Linked DNA regions of Lonchura striata. The protein of the gene in region 2 interacts with the protein of the main gene of each other region in a biochemical or structural test. Links are inferred from orthologs where the notes say so. Each region holds a gene or a part of one and is shown on either strand. Other genes may lie near its edges. The genes, in order: PIAS4 and TOP2A.

What was found.
Region 1: of the proteins of TOP2A (region 2) and PIAS4, one has a biochemical effect on the other in vitro, tested with the Homo sapiens proteins (2 studies listed by BioGRID). The link is inferred for Lonchura striata from reciprocal best matches to the Homo sapiens genes TOP2A and PIAS4.

The regions. Positions count from the first base shown.
Region 1 is NC_134630.1:6,828,796-6,836,252, forward strand, and holds the start of PIAS4 (E3 SUMO-protein ligase PIAS4), read right to left. Parts: upstream 3,212-7,457; 5' UTR 3,150-3,211; coding exon 3,123-3,149; intron 459-3,122; coding exon 32-458; intron 1-31. Other genes in the region: EEF2 (elongation factor 2), read left to right, coding at 5,903-5,905, 6,517-6,731, 7,456-7,457.
Region 2 is NC_134627.1:6,902,537-6,910,704, reverse strand, and holds the start of TOP2A (DNA topoisomerase 2-alpha), read right to left. Parts: upstream 3,147-8,168; 5' UTR 3,079-3,146; coding exon 3,046-3,078; intron 2,741-3,045; coding exon 2,597-2,740; intron 2,413-2,596; coding exon 2,322-2,412; intron 1,945-2,321; coding exon 1,881-1,944; intron 1,428-1,880; coding exon 1,282-1,427; intron 676-1,281; coding exon 578-675; intron 295-577; coding exon 82-294; intron 1-81. UniProt on the Homo sapiens protein: Key decatenating enzyme that alters DNA topology by binding to two double-stranded DNA molecules, generating a double-stranded break in one of the strands, passing the intact strand through the broken strand, and religating the broken strand.

The DNA.
Region 1 (7,457 bases), on a different chromosome or scaffold from region 2:
CCGCCCCACCCCACCCCACCCCGAACCTCACCTAACTCTGTGGGCTTCAGCAGCTCGTCCAGCGTGGTGTAAAAGGGCAACTTGACCAAGCGAACCTCAGGCTTGGCCACTTTGGGGGGCAACCTGCCCAGTCCGTTCAGGTATTTGCCATAGAGGGCAGGGTAGTCGATGCTGGCGGCGGGCAGGGGCCGGGGCACGGCGCCGCCGCGCTCGTAGGACGAGTGCAGGGCCAGCGCCTCGGCGCGGTGCGGCGCCGGCGGCGGCGCCACCTCCGAGCCCTTCTTGTTGTAGCGAGTCTCGTAGAGCTCCTTGATCTTCTTGAACACCTCGGGGCTGCAGTCGAACTGGACCAGCTGCAAAGCTCGGGTCACTAGCTCGTGTTTTAGTCCGCTTTTACTCCTGCCAACAAAACCCAGCAACATCTGAAGATCTGAGACTCGGAAACTCATCACCATGTTCTGGGGGATAAAAAATTAAAAGATGTTCTCATAGTTATAAAAGGCAAAGGTTTAGTTGTCACTTTATAGCTACAAGGCAAGATATTCAAAATTTTCCCCTCAAAGAAAGACCCCAAACCTGTCCAAACCCGCTGCTGTCAACCGAATTTTGGCTCTCAGTTCTTGTTTGAGCAATGCAAACGCAGAGATCACCCACTGAAATATCACCTGAAGGACAAAACCACCAGCACAGTCATCAAATGACTCAAAAATCACTCGGACAGATGCTAAACATCCTCGAGACAGCCCAGCTGGAAGCAGGAGCGACCTCAAAGCTCTAAAGCAAGAGGCCTCACTTGTGAAAGAGCTCATGAGCTCCTTCAGCAGCCTGAGGCATCCCGAATTCCCAGAGAAACACGGAAAGCTTCATCCCAAATGGTGTCAGTGCAAGGCACAGGAAGGAAAGCAAAATGAGTTAGGCGAGGCTGAGGTGAACTGGGGCCACCGATTCTGGATTTCTGGATGGGAAAACCCCTCCAGAATCCTCCCTACATGCAGAGGATCTGTAAAAACCCACATATTTTAGAGCATGCAAGGACATTCCGATTATTGAAGGGAGCAGAGTGTTCCCAGGAGAGCAATGCCAAGCACTTCCCTGCGATCCCAGCCAGGAGCTGCCTTGGTGCAGTTATCAGTTTCAGTGCCTGATAAGCAGCAAAACCCAGCTCAGCCTTCCAAAATTCCCTCTCTGGGGCAAGTCTGGCCTGTAACTGTCAGCAGAGTCAAAGGCCACAAGGCAACTTCCCATCAGAAACCAGGAATTCTCCCCATTAAACCCACAGCTCCAGGCTGGCATTTCAGCTCCCTAAACACCAAACAGCCTTGGAATTGCAAAACAACAGCTTATAAAGTACACAGCTGAGAAAATTCAAGTTGCTCTGCAAATTAACCTGGTAGATATTCACTCCGCAGCCTTCCTGGTTTGTGGGGAATATGGGAATTCAAGAAGAAACTCCACCAAAAAAATCCAGCAGATGTTCCCCAGCCTCTACCCCACTCTTGAATTAATAATTAATAAAAAAAGCATAAAAGATAATCTAACAATCTTATCATTTCCTGGAATAAACCAGCTACAGATTTTTTTTTTTTTTAATTAAGAAAGCTACAACTGTTTCCAGAAACATTTCACAGCCACTTTTGGATGTGTGGGAATTAAATGAGAGAGAAAATGCCATTTGATTTTCTCCTTTTCCCTTACATATGTCATTTAATCAGAAAACCCAAAAGCTGTTATGTCACTGTCTGTAGCTAGAACTTCTGGGAGTCGTGATGAGTCCCAAAATATCCCAGATGAAGGGAAAAAAAGACTGATGACTAAAGAGGAGAGAAAAGATGTTTAATTGCCAGAAAGTGAGAATTTCAGAGCCCTGGATTCATGGTGCTGCTCCACCAGACACCACCTGTGAAATCCTGGAGAAATCTACTTTGTGCCTCAGTTTTCTTCAACTAAAAAAAAAAAAGAATCAGGATCATTAAGGTTGGAAAAGACCTCCAAGATCATCAAGGCTGATGAAATCCCACCAGGATCATTAAAGTGTGCTAGGAAATGGAGAGAGTCTTCTTGTCCCTGAGGGATTTGAGGCTAAAAGGTGCATTTGGAAAGATAAATTCATCAAGACACAGCAGCAGGAGGTACCAGGGCATCCCAGGAGCACAGGAATTCCTCCTGGAGCACCTCACCAGGAGTCTTGGCCTGGAAAGCGGAGCCGGAGCGCAGAGTTTCCATTTTGAAGGGATGAAGGCCCGGCAGTGCGATGAGATTTGAGCAGCGACACAACAACAAACCCCAGACAAAGCAAACCCAGAGAGCTCCGAGAGCTGCCCCGCGGCAGCAGGGAGAGCACATGGATCGCCGGGATTCCCGACGCTCCCGGCCGCTGCTGCTCGCGGGAACGCCGGTGCGGGACGGCTCAGAGCCCGCAGAACCCTCTGCGGCCACCGCGATGCCGGGAGCGCCTTCCCCGCTCTGCAATTGCAGAGCCCCCCCAAAAAAAAGCCGCTCCCGGTGGGATTGCTGCGGCCAGCCAGCCCCATCCCTGCCGAGGGGCTGCTCCTGCGGGCGGGGAGCGCTTCCTCGGGAACACCGCCCGGGAACGCGGCCGGGGCTCCCCAACCGCACTGGGCACCGGCCGCTCTCCCGGTCCCGCGGTGCCGCCATCCCGAGGGCAGCGGGAGAAGCTCCCGCTGCTCTGCAGGGCACGAACCGCACAGCTGCGAGCGCACCCGCGCTTCCCCCATCCCGGAGGGGCGCGGGGCCGCCGCTGCCCCCGGCAGTGCCCGTCCCAGCGGACAGCTCCGCACCGAGCCGCTCCACCCCCGGAGCGCCACCGGCACCAGCGAGCCTTCCCCGCGGGAATTCGGGGGGAAAGCCACGGCGGGGGCAGCCCCGAGGAGCGCGGGCAGCGCCGCGGCCCGCTTCGGCCCGGTTCGGCGCCGGGAGGTCCGGCGGGGGCTGCGGCCCTGAGGCCGGGGCGGGGCAGTGTCTGAGGTAAAAAAGGCGAAGGGGAGGCCCCGGAGCGCCGCCCCCGCGGTTCGCAGCACCGCCCCCACGCCGTGTGCCCGCGCCGGGAGCCGCCCGGTGGCGGCCGGGCCCCGCGGGCGGGGCGGCGGCGCCGCTTCCCTCACCTTCGCCTCCACCAGCTCCGCCGCCATCTTGGGCCTGCAGCGTCCGCCGCGCCGGCCGCCGCCGGGTCACGTGACGGCCTCGCGCCGGGCGGGGCGGAGGGAGGGGGCGGGGCCGCGAGCGCCGCCCAATCGCCGCGCGCGCCCCCCCGGCCACGCCCCCCTCGCGAGCCACGCCCCGCCAGGCCACGCCTCCCCCGCGAGAGTCTTAAAGGGGCCGCGCACCGCAAACCGGGGCAGCACCGCGGGGTGGCGGGGGTGGGGGGGAACGGCGGCGGGACCGGGGATGGAGGCGGTGCCGCGGGCACTGCGGGACGGGGAAGGGGTGGGCAGGCGGTGGGTGCTGCCCCCAGGATGGCACCAGGTGGGTGCCCCGGGGCAGGGCAGCGCCCGGTGGGCTCGGCCCGAGGCTCCGCCGGCGGCCCCGGTGAGGAGGGAAGTGCTGGGGGGATGTAGAGGGGAAGGGATGGGGATGGGTCCCGGTTCCTTCTCTGGTCAGTGTTTGTGGCCCCTTCTGCGACAGAACCCATTGCTTATTAAAAATACCTTCCATATAACAATAATAATAGTAATAATGATAATGATAATAATAAATACATTGTGGTTTGCAGCTTTTCCCCGATAGGCAGCTCCCATCTCTGCTCTGGGAGCAGGGACACGAGCCAGGGAACAGCTGGAGCTGTGCCGGGGATTTGGGATGGAGCTCAGGGAAAGGTTCTGCCTCTGAGGGTGGTGGGCACTGCCCAGGCTCCCCAGGGAACGGGCACATTCCCAACCCTGCCGGAGCTCCAGGAGCCTTTGGAAAACACTCTGGGACAGGGTGTTGGGGTGTCTGTGCAGGGCCAGGAGTTGGACTGGATGATTTCAGGGTAACCTCAGTGTTTGAGGTGAAACGCTGCGCTGGGAAAGGTTTTCCAGCACTTTCCTCTCCTTGCCATCAACCCCACATACTAATTAATCAAAAAGGCAATTAACAATTTCTCAGGAAGAGCAGGATGCTCATCAGGTTTCCAACTTTTCCCTTCTAGGCTGGCAAAAATCAGGGTTGGTGCTAAAAATCCCCCAGATTGCTATGGAAACCCCAGAGGCCGATAATTCATCCTGTCAATCCATCCCGGGTGCAGCCCCGTGGCCATCCTGCCTGGGAATGTGCTGGGAATTTGGGAGCTGCCAGTGAGAGAAGTGGGATTGTCCAGCCTGGAGAAGAGAAGTTTTTGGGCGAGCTCATTGCAGCCTTCAGGACCTGAAGGGACCCCACAAGGAATATGGGAAGAGAGACTTTGGACAAGGGGTGGAAGGACAGGAATACAAGGAACGGCTTCCGCTGCCAGAGGGCAGGGATGGATGGGATTTTGGGATGGAATTCCTGCCTGGGAGGGTGGGCAGGGGCTGGGATGGAATTCCCAGAGCAGCCGTGGCTGGCAGTGCCCAGGGCCAGGCTGGAGCAGCCCGGGATGGTGGGAGGTGTCCCTGCCATGGCGCTGGATGTTCCTCCGCGTCCCTTCCGACCCGAGCCGTTCATTCCAACGTTTCTGTCGGCTCTGAGGCGATGCGGGCGCACAGGGACGGCTGGAGCCCGAGCTCTGCGGCCCCGTGCCACCGGACCCGGCGGGCGGCTCCGGCCGGGGCCGCTCCCGGTGCGGATCCCGGTGCCACTCCCGGTGCGGATCCTTGTCCGCTCCCGGTGCGGATCCTTGTCCGCTCCCGGTGCGGATCGCGGGGCCGCTCCCGGTGCCACTCCCGGTGCGGATCCGGGGCCGCTCCCGGTGCGGATCCCGGGGCCGCTCCCGGTGCCACTCCCGGTGCGGATCCCGGTGCCGCTCCCGGTGCGGATCCCGGTGCCGCTCCCGGTGCCGCTCCCGGTGCGGATCCTTGTCCGCTCCCGGTGCGGATCCTTGTCCGCTCCCGGTGCGGATCGCGGGGCCGCTCCCGGTGCCACTCCCGGTGCGGATCCGGGGCCGCTCCCGGTGCGGATCCCGGTGCCGCTCCCGGTGCGGATCCCGGGGCCGCTCCCGGTGCGGATCCCGGTGCCGCTCCCGGTGCGGATCCGGGGCCGCTCCCCGTGCGGATCCGGAGCCGTTCCCGGTGCGGATCCCGGGGCCGCTCCCGGTGCGGATCCCGGGGCCGCTCCCGGTGCGGATCCCGGTGCCGCTCCCGGTGCGGATCCCGGTGCGGCCGCGCTCCTCCCTGCCCGCAGGGGGCGCTGCGGCACCGGCCCGCCCGGAGCATGCGCACTGCGAGCCCCCTGCGGGAGCGGGGCGAGGCGGACCCACAGGTGTCCCGGACCCACCGGGATCCCGGACCGCTGCCTGCCACCGGGCTCGGCCCTACCGCCTTCTCCTAGCGGCTGAGCCCCCGTGCTCGCCTGCCGCTCGGTGATACCGCTCCGAGGGCGGCCTCACTGCTCCGAGCCGGTTCCTACACCGGCAGCGGGAGGGGCGGACTGTCCCCCCCCGTTGCAGCCCGGGCGGGGCGGGGCTGCCGCTGCCGGTCGCTGTTCCCCCGGTGTCGCCTCGCTGCAGTCCCGGTGCAGCCCCGGTGACCCCCACGTGGTGCCGGCGAGGCGGGACATCCTCCCGGCCATAGAGCGCGCGGGATAGAGCGGCGCGGCCGCGCACGCGCTCGGCGCCGGCCCCGCCCCTCGGCGGCGCCGCCCTATAAGAGGGCGCCGGCTGACGTCAGCGCTCTCTTCCGCCCGCTCTGCGCTCGCCAGCGAGACAGGGCCGAGCCGCCGCCATTGCCGTGACCCCCCCGCCCCGCAGCATCCGCCGCCATCCGCCACCATGGTGAGCCCCCGCCGCCCGCCGCCGCTGCCGGCGGGATTAGCGACCATCGCGCTCCCCGTATCGCCGGGGATGGCAGTTCCGCGAGCGCCGCCGGTCACACGGCGGCGGCTGCGGCCTGTGCTGCCGGCCTGGGCCGCGGCTGCGGGGAGAGGGTGGGGCGGCGGGAGGGGGCCGGTCCGGGCGGCCGTGACACCGGCGGGACCGCCGGGGCCGGTGCCGGGGCCGCCGTTGTGCCGCGGGGCTCGGGAGCGCTGATGTGGCAGCGCCGGGCTCGGGGCGCTGCGGTGCCGGCCGTGCCTTATGTAACGCTGCGGGCCGGGCTGGCACCGGCACCGGGCCGGGCTGGCACCGGGCCGGGCCGGCACCGGGCCGGGCCGGGCTCGCTTCTGGGGGCGCCCTGCGCCCGCTGGCACCGCGGCTGGAGGGCCACCGGGGCAGGGAGGGGTCGGTGCCGCAGCCCCGCTGCGCTGCCCTGGCTGCGGGTTGTGTTGTCACCCGGGCAGAGGTGGTGTCACCGCGGTCGTGGCGGGTGTTTAGGGCAGAGTCGGCTTCCTTGGAACTGCCAAAGCTGTTTTTGTACGCGCTGAGTCCCCCTCCTCCCCTACTTCAAGGTGAACTTCACAGTAGACCAGATACGGGCCATCATGGATAAAAAGGCCAACATCAGGAACATGTCGGTGATCGCCCACGTGGACCACGGCAAGTCCACGCTGACGGATTCCCTGGTGTGCAAGGCTGGGATCATCGCCTCAGCGCGGGCCGGGGAGACCCGGTTCACCGACACCCGCAAGGACGAGCAGGAACGGTGCATCACCATCAAATCCACGTGAGTGCCCTCCCCTCGGACTCCTGCTGCTGCCTGGGCTGAACTCAGGGGGGATTGGACTCCTCCAGGAGGTGCTGTTGGACTTTGGTCTAGTCCAGAAGCTCATGTCATGTTCCTGAGGGTCTTGAATGGTGGAGCAAGTGTTGACTGGCTTCTGCTCAATCATGGAGCAATTGTTTGCTGGGCATTGGGGAAGCAGGAGCTTCACCCTCCCAGTTCAGCACCAGGATTGTTGGATGTCCATGGATGCGGTGTGGAGACTCTTGGGAGCGTCTCTGGGGATGCACCTGGTGGCTGTGCTGCCACAGGGCGTGTGAGGACTCTGAGGGGCCAGAAAAGGGGTGGAGAACACGGTTGGGATTAGTAGGAAAAGCCTAAATCCACAATCTGGGAATGGAGCCCTTTATGCGTGCTGGAGAACTGTAGGGAGCTGGAGGAGGTTGGGATTCTGGAGGATGTTATGGTTTAGGAAGGACAGGTTGTAGCCTGTGCTTCTGTTATCTCACACACTGACCTCCCTGGAATACGCTCCAGGAAATCCTGGAGCCCAGCATCTAGCTTGGAAAAGATCTCCAAGGACATCAACTCCAACCGGGAGCAGAGCACTGGGTGCCACCTCCAGTGCTGGGGCAGGGATGTTTTGTGGGGCAGAACATCTCTGAGCTTTAGGGAGAAAACGATCCTGAGCACAATCATCATTTTAATAGTTTCTGCTTTCTTTCAGAG
Region 2 (8,168 bases):
AGAGCCTCAAAAGAATCACACTGGTTAACTGGCACAAAAAAAAACCCCAGATATTTGTGTTTCTTTTCAATGCTCACTTACAGGAAGCCTCTGTCCATTCAGGAAAACTTTGACATCCTTTGTGGATCCAGCAATATCATAGGCTCTTCGAGACATCAGTGCTACAATGTCCTTATCCAGAACAGTCATTTTGAATTTGGACAGATCAGGTTGGAAAGTGACACAGGTGTAATCATCTCCATCAAAGTATTTCAGCTTCATTTCTCCAGCCTTTCCCATATTGTCTGTCCACGTCTGAGGAAAGGAACTTTGGTGACTTTCAAGTCAAACACACACATAACTACCTTAGTCTTTAAAAGCAGTAAGATGGTTTATGTGGTTTAGATATCTTTGAATTAAACAAAAACTCTGGTTAAAAACCAGATTCTGATGCTGTCTGCTAATTTCTTTATTCCTTTGAATTACATTTTGTGGGTCAAATTTACTCTAATCACACTGAACTAGTTTTGAAACAAAACCTTAGGATCTCATTTGAAAACCTCAGTTATAAACTCCCTGGAAAGAAAAGTGCTCCTACCTGCTTGAACAACTTTTTGTATTCACGACATCCAGTTTCCACAGTAAATTTTTTGCTGAATATGTTGCACAGTTTGGCTCCATAACCATTTCTCCCCCCTGGAATTAGAAGGAACACAGACTTGTGTTATTCTCTTTGTCCAAAACCATCTAAGAGAATCCAAGACTAACTGGAGTTTGTCAATGTCCACCCAATTCTAAGACAACTGTCAAGAAGCAACAATATTCTACAAGCTTAGTATGCAATTACAAACTTTGATTTAATTAGGGTTTAAGAGAATATTCAAAGACCATTTTCCCTGTTCCCATGTTTGCACTGTTGTTATGTTAAACAGAGCACATAGACTTCTCTGATAGATTCAGAACATCATTTTCATAGAATCATAGAATAATTTGGTTTGGAAGGAACCTTAAAGCCCATCCAGTCCCACTATTTGCTGTAGGCAGGGCACATTCCACTAGCCCACGTTGCTTCAAGCCCTGTCCAACATGGCCTTGGACACTTCCAGGAGTGGGGCAGCCACAGCTTCTCTGTGCCAGAACCACACCACCGTCACAGAGAGGAATGTCTTCTGTATATCTCATCTAAATTTCCCCTTGTTCAGTTTTCAGACTGCATTAAGGACTCCCTTCCTGCCCTTTCTAGTTCAGGTCACACACTTAGAGCTGCTCAGAGGTATTAGTGCATACCAGAGCCTTCCTCACCTGTGACTTTCTTCTCATTGTCATCATAGTTGCTGGATGTCAGCAGCTGTCCAAAGATCATAGCAGGCACATAGACCTTCTCCACTTTGTGTTCAACAACTGGGATACCTTTCCCATTGTTCCACACACTGATTGTGTTATTCTCTCTGGGGAGGGAAAGAAAAGTCTGTTTTTAAGGCTGCAAATGGCTGAGCTGTGAAAGAAGTCACCAAAAGGCTCTGAGGAAAAGGCACCATTTCACCAGGAACAAATGTGTGCTCAGCAAGTGCAGCAGCTGCCAGCAGAGGGGGGACAGGCAACACAGAAATGCCCAGATCTGCACATGCCGGCTCTGAAATGGACCCACACACAAAACCCCCCTGTCTGTGCTCAATCAGGGTGAAAAGAGAGAGGAAGAGGTGGAAAACCACAGCAACGAAAGAGCAGCCATTTCCCCAGTCAGGCCTCTGTAAGAGACCAGGGGAATAAGCACAGAGAAAGGCTTTCCACAACTGGTGAATTAAATTTGGGCTATCTCAGATCAGCCCCACAGCCCTGCAGTGCCACCTCAGCTTTGCAGAACAGCTGAAGGCAACCAACAACAATGAAACCAAACTTACACATCAATTGTGACTTTAATGCATGACATGTTTTTATCCCTCTGCTTGTTGTCTGCAGCATTCACTAGGAAGGAAAGAGAATATTTTTTTTTATTACATTCTCAATCAAGGGAAAATGATGAATTATGAAGTGTTCCAGTAGAATGAACATAAAAAGTCACTACAGTGTTGCTAATAATCATCTCAGCATGAAAATATTTTGCAAATTACAAAGAGGAGTGCAAGTTATCATGGAATTATGAAGGTTGGAAATGACCTCTGAATTCCTTCAGTGCAACCATTGACATAAAAAGGAGAATTTTGGGCAGGTTTGTAATTAGATTTTTGAAATTTTTCTTTGTTTCAAATGAATGGCTTGCTATTAAGCAGTGCTAATAAGTTCTTACTAATTTATATCCGTTAATAACCCGTCATTCACTGACTCAATGGATGTCAGCTTACCCAGAATCTCATCAAAGATTTTGTACAAGCCAGGCACAAAGGTCACATCTCTGCAGTTGAGGCCAACGCCTTCATCAAAAACCCACATTTGCTGGGAAAAAAAGAAGGAATCTGTAAGTGCCCAGATACAACCCCTCTTCCGTGCGCATCAGTTTGTAAAGCAGTTGTTTTGTGATTGATAAGCAGATGTTTTGTGCTTTGTAAACAGCTGCTAAGAGCTCCCCGCCTGCCCCGAGGTGCTCGGGGGGCTCAGCCCCGCTGCCCCCTGCTCCCACCTGGGTGACGAGCTCCACGGAGCCGATGTAGGTGTCTGGCCGGAGCAGGATGTGCTCCAGCTGCGTCTTCTTCTGGTAGATGTGCTCCACCGTGAGCTTCTTGGGGCCATCGGCCTTGCCCACGGGGATGTTCTCGTTCGCGGGCTGTGGGGGAGAGGCAGCGGCGGTGAGGGGGCGAACAGGGACAACGCATGGGGCCAGGCCGAGGCGGGGAAGAGCATCGGAATCGCGCAGGAGCGGGAGGGCTGGGAAAAGAGCCGAGAGAGGGGCCTGCGGATACCCTGAAGGAGACCCAAGGAGGGGGCTGAGAAGGACCCGGGGAAACGCTGAGGGGGGGACAGGGCGAACTTGCGGGTGCCCGGCGGGGCTGAGGGGGGCTCGAGGGGACGGTATGGAGGCGGATCACAAAGCTCCGCAGGGTCGGGGGCAGCGGTGGTGGCAGGACGCACCCGGAGAGGTGACGAGGGCTGAGAGAGCTCCATGGCGGCGGCGGCGGCGGCCAGAGCGGCTGAGGCGGTGATGGCGGCGCCAACGACCCTTCAAACCTCCGCTCGTCCCGCCGAAACGCGCGGCCAATCCCCGCTCGCGGCCCCCGGCGCTCTGCCAATCGCAGTGCGGGGACGGGCACACGGCTGGAACTCTGCCCGCCCTCTGACCTATCAGAGGCCGCACCGCGCGTTCAAACCGGCCAGTCGGGAGGGAGAGCGATGAGATGGACAGCAGGATGGACCAATAGAGAAGCGGCAGGGAGGGTGCCGGAGGTTCCCGTTTGCCGTTGGTGGTGGGACATACTGGGATACACTGGGATACACTGGGACACACTGGGAACCCCCGGACACACACTGGAATACACTGGACAGACCCTGTGGACCCACTGGGGTACTGCTACACACTGGGCAAGCCCCAGGGATTCACTGGGACCTATTGAACTGGGACACTGGACAGACCCATTGGACATGGGATACTGGGCAGACCCTGGACATGCACTGGGATACATTTGGAATCACTGGGTTTCAGTGGACAAAATGTCCCAACCCCTTGGACACCCACTGGGATACACTGGGAGGGCCTCAGGAACCCACAGGAATACACTTAGCAAGATTTGGCTGGGATATACTGGACCACACTGTGTTCTGAGACCAAAACAGACCTTGCTGACATGCAGACCTGTGCCAGGGTGTCCCCTCCCAGTTACTGCCAATCCCCAGGGGACTAGAGCCTGCTCCCAGCCCTTCCAGTCCCTGTTCCCATTCCCGGGTGTGTCCCCTCAGTCCCTTGCTGCCATGTGCCCCCAGAACAAAGCATGGTGTCATAAAAACCAACATTTTTGTATCTTTATTTCTGGGTGGTGACCGTGTTGACTCCAGTGGGTTTAGGAGGCTGGAGGCACAGCCTAACATTGCCCCATGGCACGGGGATCTGTGGGATGGCGCAGCTGGAGCTGGGCATGGCACAGTCTGGTTGCACACCCGGTGTCCCCTCAGTGCTCCGACACAGCTCCGACACCTCCCATGGTGCTCCCGGGGACATTCCCCAGCCACACAGGCCTGGAAGAATGCCTGGAGCTCCTGCTTGCGTGTCACCATTGTCACCACATGTGCCGGTAAGGAAAAGCCACCTCGATGCAGAGCACGGCCAGCGGTATGGAGCAGTTGTGGCGGTGGCCGGCCAGCAGCCGGCCCTCGCCCAGGGCAGTGGCCATGCCCTCGGCTGAGCCAGAGCTGCGCCAGCCCTGGCAATCCCACCGGTGGGCATGGCCACCCCGTGGCGTGGAGCCGTGCCAGGCTAGCCGGTGGGGCCTGTGGGTGGGGACAGGGTGAGAGGGGCTGGGGGCACCCTGGGGTGCCCCAGCTCTTTGCTCCTGCACTTCTGCAGGGTGGGAGCCAGCACAGACCCCCCGTTCCAGCTCCCACACAGGGCCATCCATCCAGGACCTGTCCACACTCACCAGAGGGGATCTGCCAGGATGTTGCGCCCGTTGAAGGAGTAGATGGGACTCTGCAGGACAGCACCAGACTGACCCCCAAAAAGGGAGCTCCAGGACTTGGCCAGCAGCTGCCCCTGTGGGCACGAGCCACGGTGCTGAGCCAGGGGCCAGGAGAATGCCCCTTGTCCCCAGCATTGTGTGGGCAATGACATCCTCTCTGCTCTGCCAGCACCCCAAATCCCTGAGCACGGCAGCAGGACTGGGTGGGCGTCCCCCACCCACAGCAGCTCACGGGGGCTGTGAGGCTGTGCCACCCCTGGGGACGGGGTACCTGCCTTCAGGTTGACAATGGGGAGGCTCCTGTCTGTCCGCTTGACGATGGACACCAGGTGCTGGCTGGGGGCCGACAGGAAGGCCCGGAAGGTGCCGTGGAGCCCGGCCTCCTGTGACTGCCGGTAGCACTGCAGGTCAGCGCCCCGGATCCCGCTCATGTCACCCCACAGCGGCACGTTGAGGGCAGCCAGGCGGAGCTGGGGGCGGCAGGGAGGAATGGAGGTCTCTGCTCCTCTCTTCTCAGAGGGTGTGAGCCTCTGGCAGTGCTGGCCAGAATTGGGGGTCCCCTGGGTACCTCTCCCCCCTCTCCCATGACTGGCTGTTCATCCCCACCCTGGGGCCAGGCATTCCTTACAGATGGGATCCGTGGGGCTGTGGTGGTTGGCAGAATCTGGGGCAATCCGTGTTCCTCCTCCTTCTGGATCTGCAAAAACACAGCTCAGATCAGTCTGGGGACACGCATCCATGTGCCATGACTTGGGGGCACCCTCCCCAGACCAACACAACCCCATGTTCTGCTCATGCTGAGCTGGCACTGCCCTGCTGACATCCAGCCCATGCTATGCACATCCCTCCCAGCATGGCCAGACCCTCAGCAGGGCTCACCAGTGAGTCTGTTGGAGACTGCATGAGTGACAGCGTGTTGGGACCTCTTGGCTGCACCCTCTTCACCTCCTGGATGGAGAGGTGGAAGAAGAAGGAGAAAACAGTCCTGTGAGGTCTGTCCACTTCATCATGCAGACAAGGGCTCTGTCACCTTACAGGGACATGAGTGGACCCAGCAGCTCCTGCACCCCTCACCTGGTACTGCGGGGTGGAGGCAGAAGGGTCATCACCAGCCAAGAACGACTTCGGATCCTCCAGCTGCTCAATGACACAAGCAGAGGGACAGGTTAGGGGAAATCCTCTCCTTCCTGAGGATCTGCTGCCCTAGTGCCAAATCCAGCCCTGGATCCTGCCCCCCTAGCCCTGCCAGGGACCCCACACGGTACCAGGAGGCGGCTCCAGCCAGCGGGGGTCCGGAGGAAGGCGTTGCTCCCTTCCCGCACATAGACCAGGCTCCCCTCGGGCACAGCACTGCTCGCCTTCACCATCAGCTCCTTGGACTTGAAAACCCACGTCTGGCGCTGGGGGAAGGCAGAGGGTGAGGCTCCTGCTGTGGGGCACGGGGCAGCTGGGGGGGGTTTGCCTGGGGCCGCAGCCTGGACGCACCCGGAGATCAGCGCGGGAGTCCGATGGCTCTGTCTGAGGGGCACCAGCATCTGCAGAGCCCAGAGATGGTGGGGGGTCACAAGGTGTCCCAGCATAGGGCCTGGATGCTCCCATGGGAACTGGCCCCACAGGGATGCGGTGGGAGTGGGTGGGAGAGCCAGCAGTGGTGCCAGGGACCCGTGCTGCACGGTCCCGGCACCCAAGGAAGGGAGGCAAGACTTTAGGAAAAGTGTCTCCAGGGAGGCTGCAGCCCCCAAAACACCTGGGAAACCTCCTCACCTGATGGCCAGCTGCGATCTGCAGGTGCCTGTGAAGGCAAACAGAGTCTGTGTCTGCTGCTGGGCACAGGGAGAGGGACACCCCTCCTGATGCACAGGGAGGAGATGGGGACACTCTTGGGGCAGCGAGGCCGTGGCTTACCGGCTGCTTGCAGGGCTGCTGGGCATGCACGGGGTGCATCCTCTGCAACCAAAGACAGGCAGGTTTGGGGGGGCCCTGGTGCTGTGCACACTCACACGTGTGTGTGCTCTGGCACAGGCGTGTGCACACCAGTGCTGGGCCTTACGTTGAGGTAGAGGAGACCTGGTGGGCCAGGGGGGCCGGGGGGCCCAGGGGGACCGGGGTTCCCAGGGGGACCTCGAAGACCCTGTGGTAGAGCAGTGTGGAGATTGAACTTGGCTGTTTTGGTGCTGCCGTTCAGGGGGGCAGCTCTGACACCCAATTGATGTCCCCCACGCTTCCCACTCCTGTCCCCTCCCAGGGCTCAATGTCCCTGGCTGGGGCAGCGCAGACCCCGGCCAGGCAGGGACTCTCACATGAGGGATGATCGCTCCATAAATCTCTGGTTCATCTTTCCCATCCTGCAAAGGAAGACTGAGATTGATCTCCATCCTCCCTCTCTCTCCATTTTCCATTCTCCCCCTCTCCTTCCTCCAACCCCGTCCCGTGGGGTTGCCAGTGGGGTGAACCACGTCCCCAGGGCTGGGCTGGGGTCCCTGGGCACCCCTTCCCCTGGCCACTCACCGTCTGGTACCTGTTGATGGACCCCCATGAGCCGGTGCTGGGGAAGGGGAGGTGCCCTGGTTTGCACCCGTGCTCCCCATAGCAGCACCCCTGGGTGAGCCGCAGAGAGAGGCAGGATTAGAGTCCGTGCTGAGTCTGGGGGGGGTCTGGGGTGTGCTGGGGATGTTTATGGGTGGCACAGGTGTGCACGTGTGTGCCCCGTGTGTGCCATGGTGTGTCTCCTCCCACACCCTGTGCCCCGGGGGTAGGTGAAGGGTGTTGGGGGAGCAAAGGCAGCACAGAGGGCTCAGGGGGGCACACTCAGGTGTGGGGATGGGGATGGGACCCCCCCCCACACTGCTGCTGGTGGCTACAAACCGGCTCTCCAGGGTCGCCCTTTTCTCCCTGGAAGGGAAGTGACAGATCCTGTGAGTGCCCAGTTCTGGGGGTCCCCAGCCCTCCCAGCCTCCCAGCCAGGGTACCACCCACCATGGAGCTGTTTGTCCAGGGTGCCATGCCCAGTGCTGTGCCCATGCCCCCTCCCCAGGACTCCTGCCCATGGTGCCCAGCTCACCTTGGGACCTGGCAGCCCAGCCAATCCACGGTGACCAGTGTGGCGTGAGTCGCACTGCAAAGAGAGGATGTGTGGGGTGACACTGGCATTCCCCCCACCCAGGACCCACAGCTCGGGACGCCCTACTCACCCTGTAGTCCCCTGGTGGTCCTGGTGGCCCCATGGGACCGGGCATGCCCGGGGAGCCTGGCTCTCCGGTCCGGCCAGGGCTCCCTGGCATGCCTGGCAGCCCATGCTCGCCCTTCTCACCCTGAGGACAGATGGCACAGGGTGGTGAGTGTGGAGTGGAGCCCCTGTGTTCCCTGGGCCCCTCAGTGCTAGGACTGGGGCAGTCCCGGGGCAGCCCTGGAGCACTCTGAGGGCTGGGGAATGGGGCTGCTCCCCCAGGGCAGGGCTGGGGGCTGGTGAGCCCAGGTACCCCATCCCCCCCCAGGGCCCTGTCCCCCAGGACAGGCTGGGCTGGGACTCCCTTACCTTTGGTCCTGGGAATCCTGGCTCCCCTCGGAGCCCTGGTTTGCCAGGGA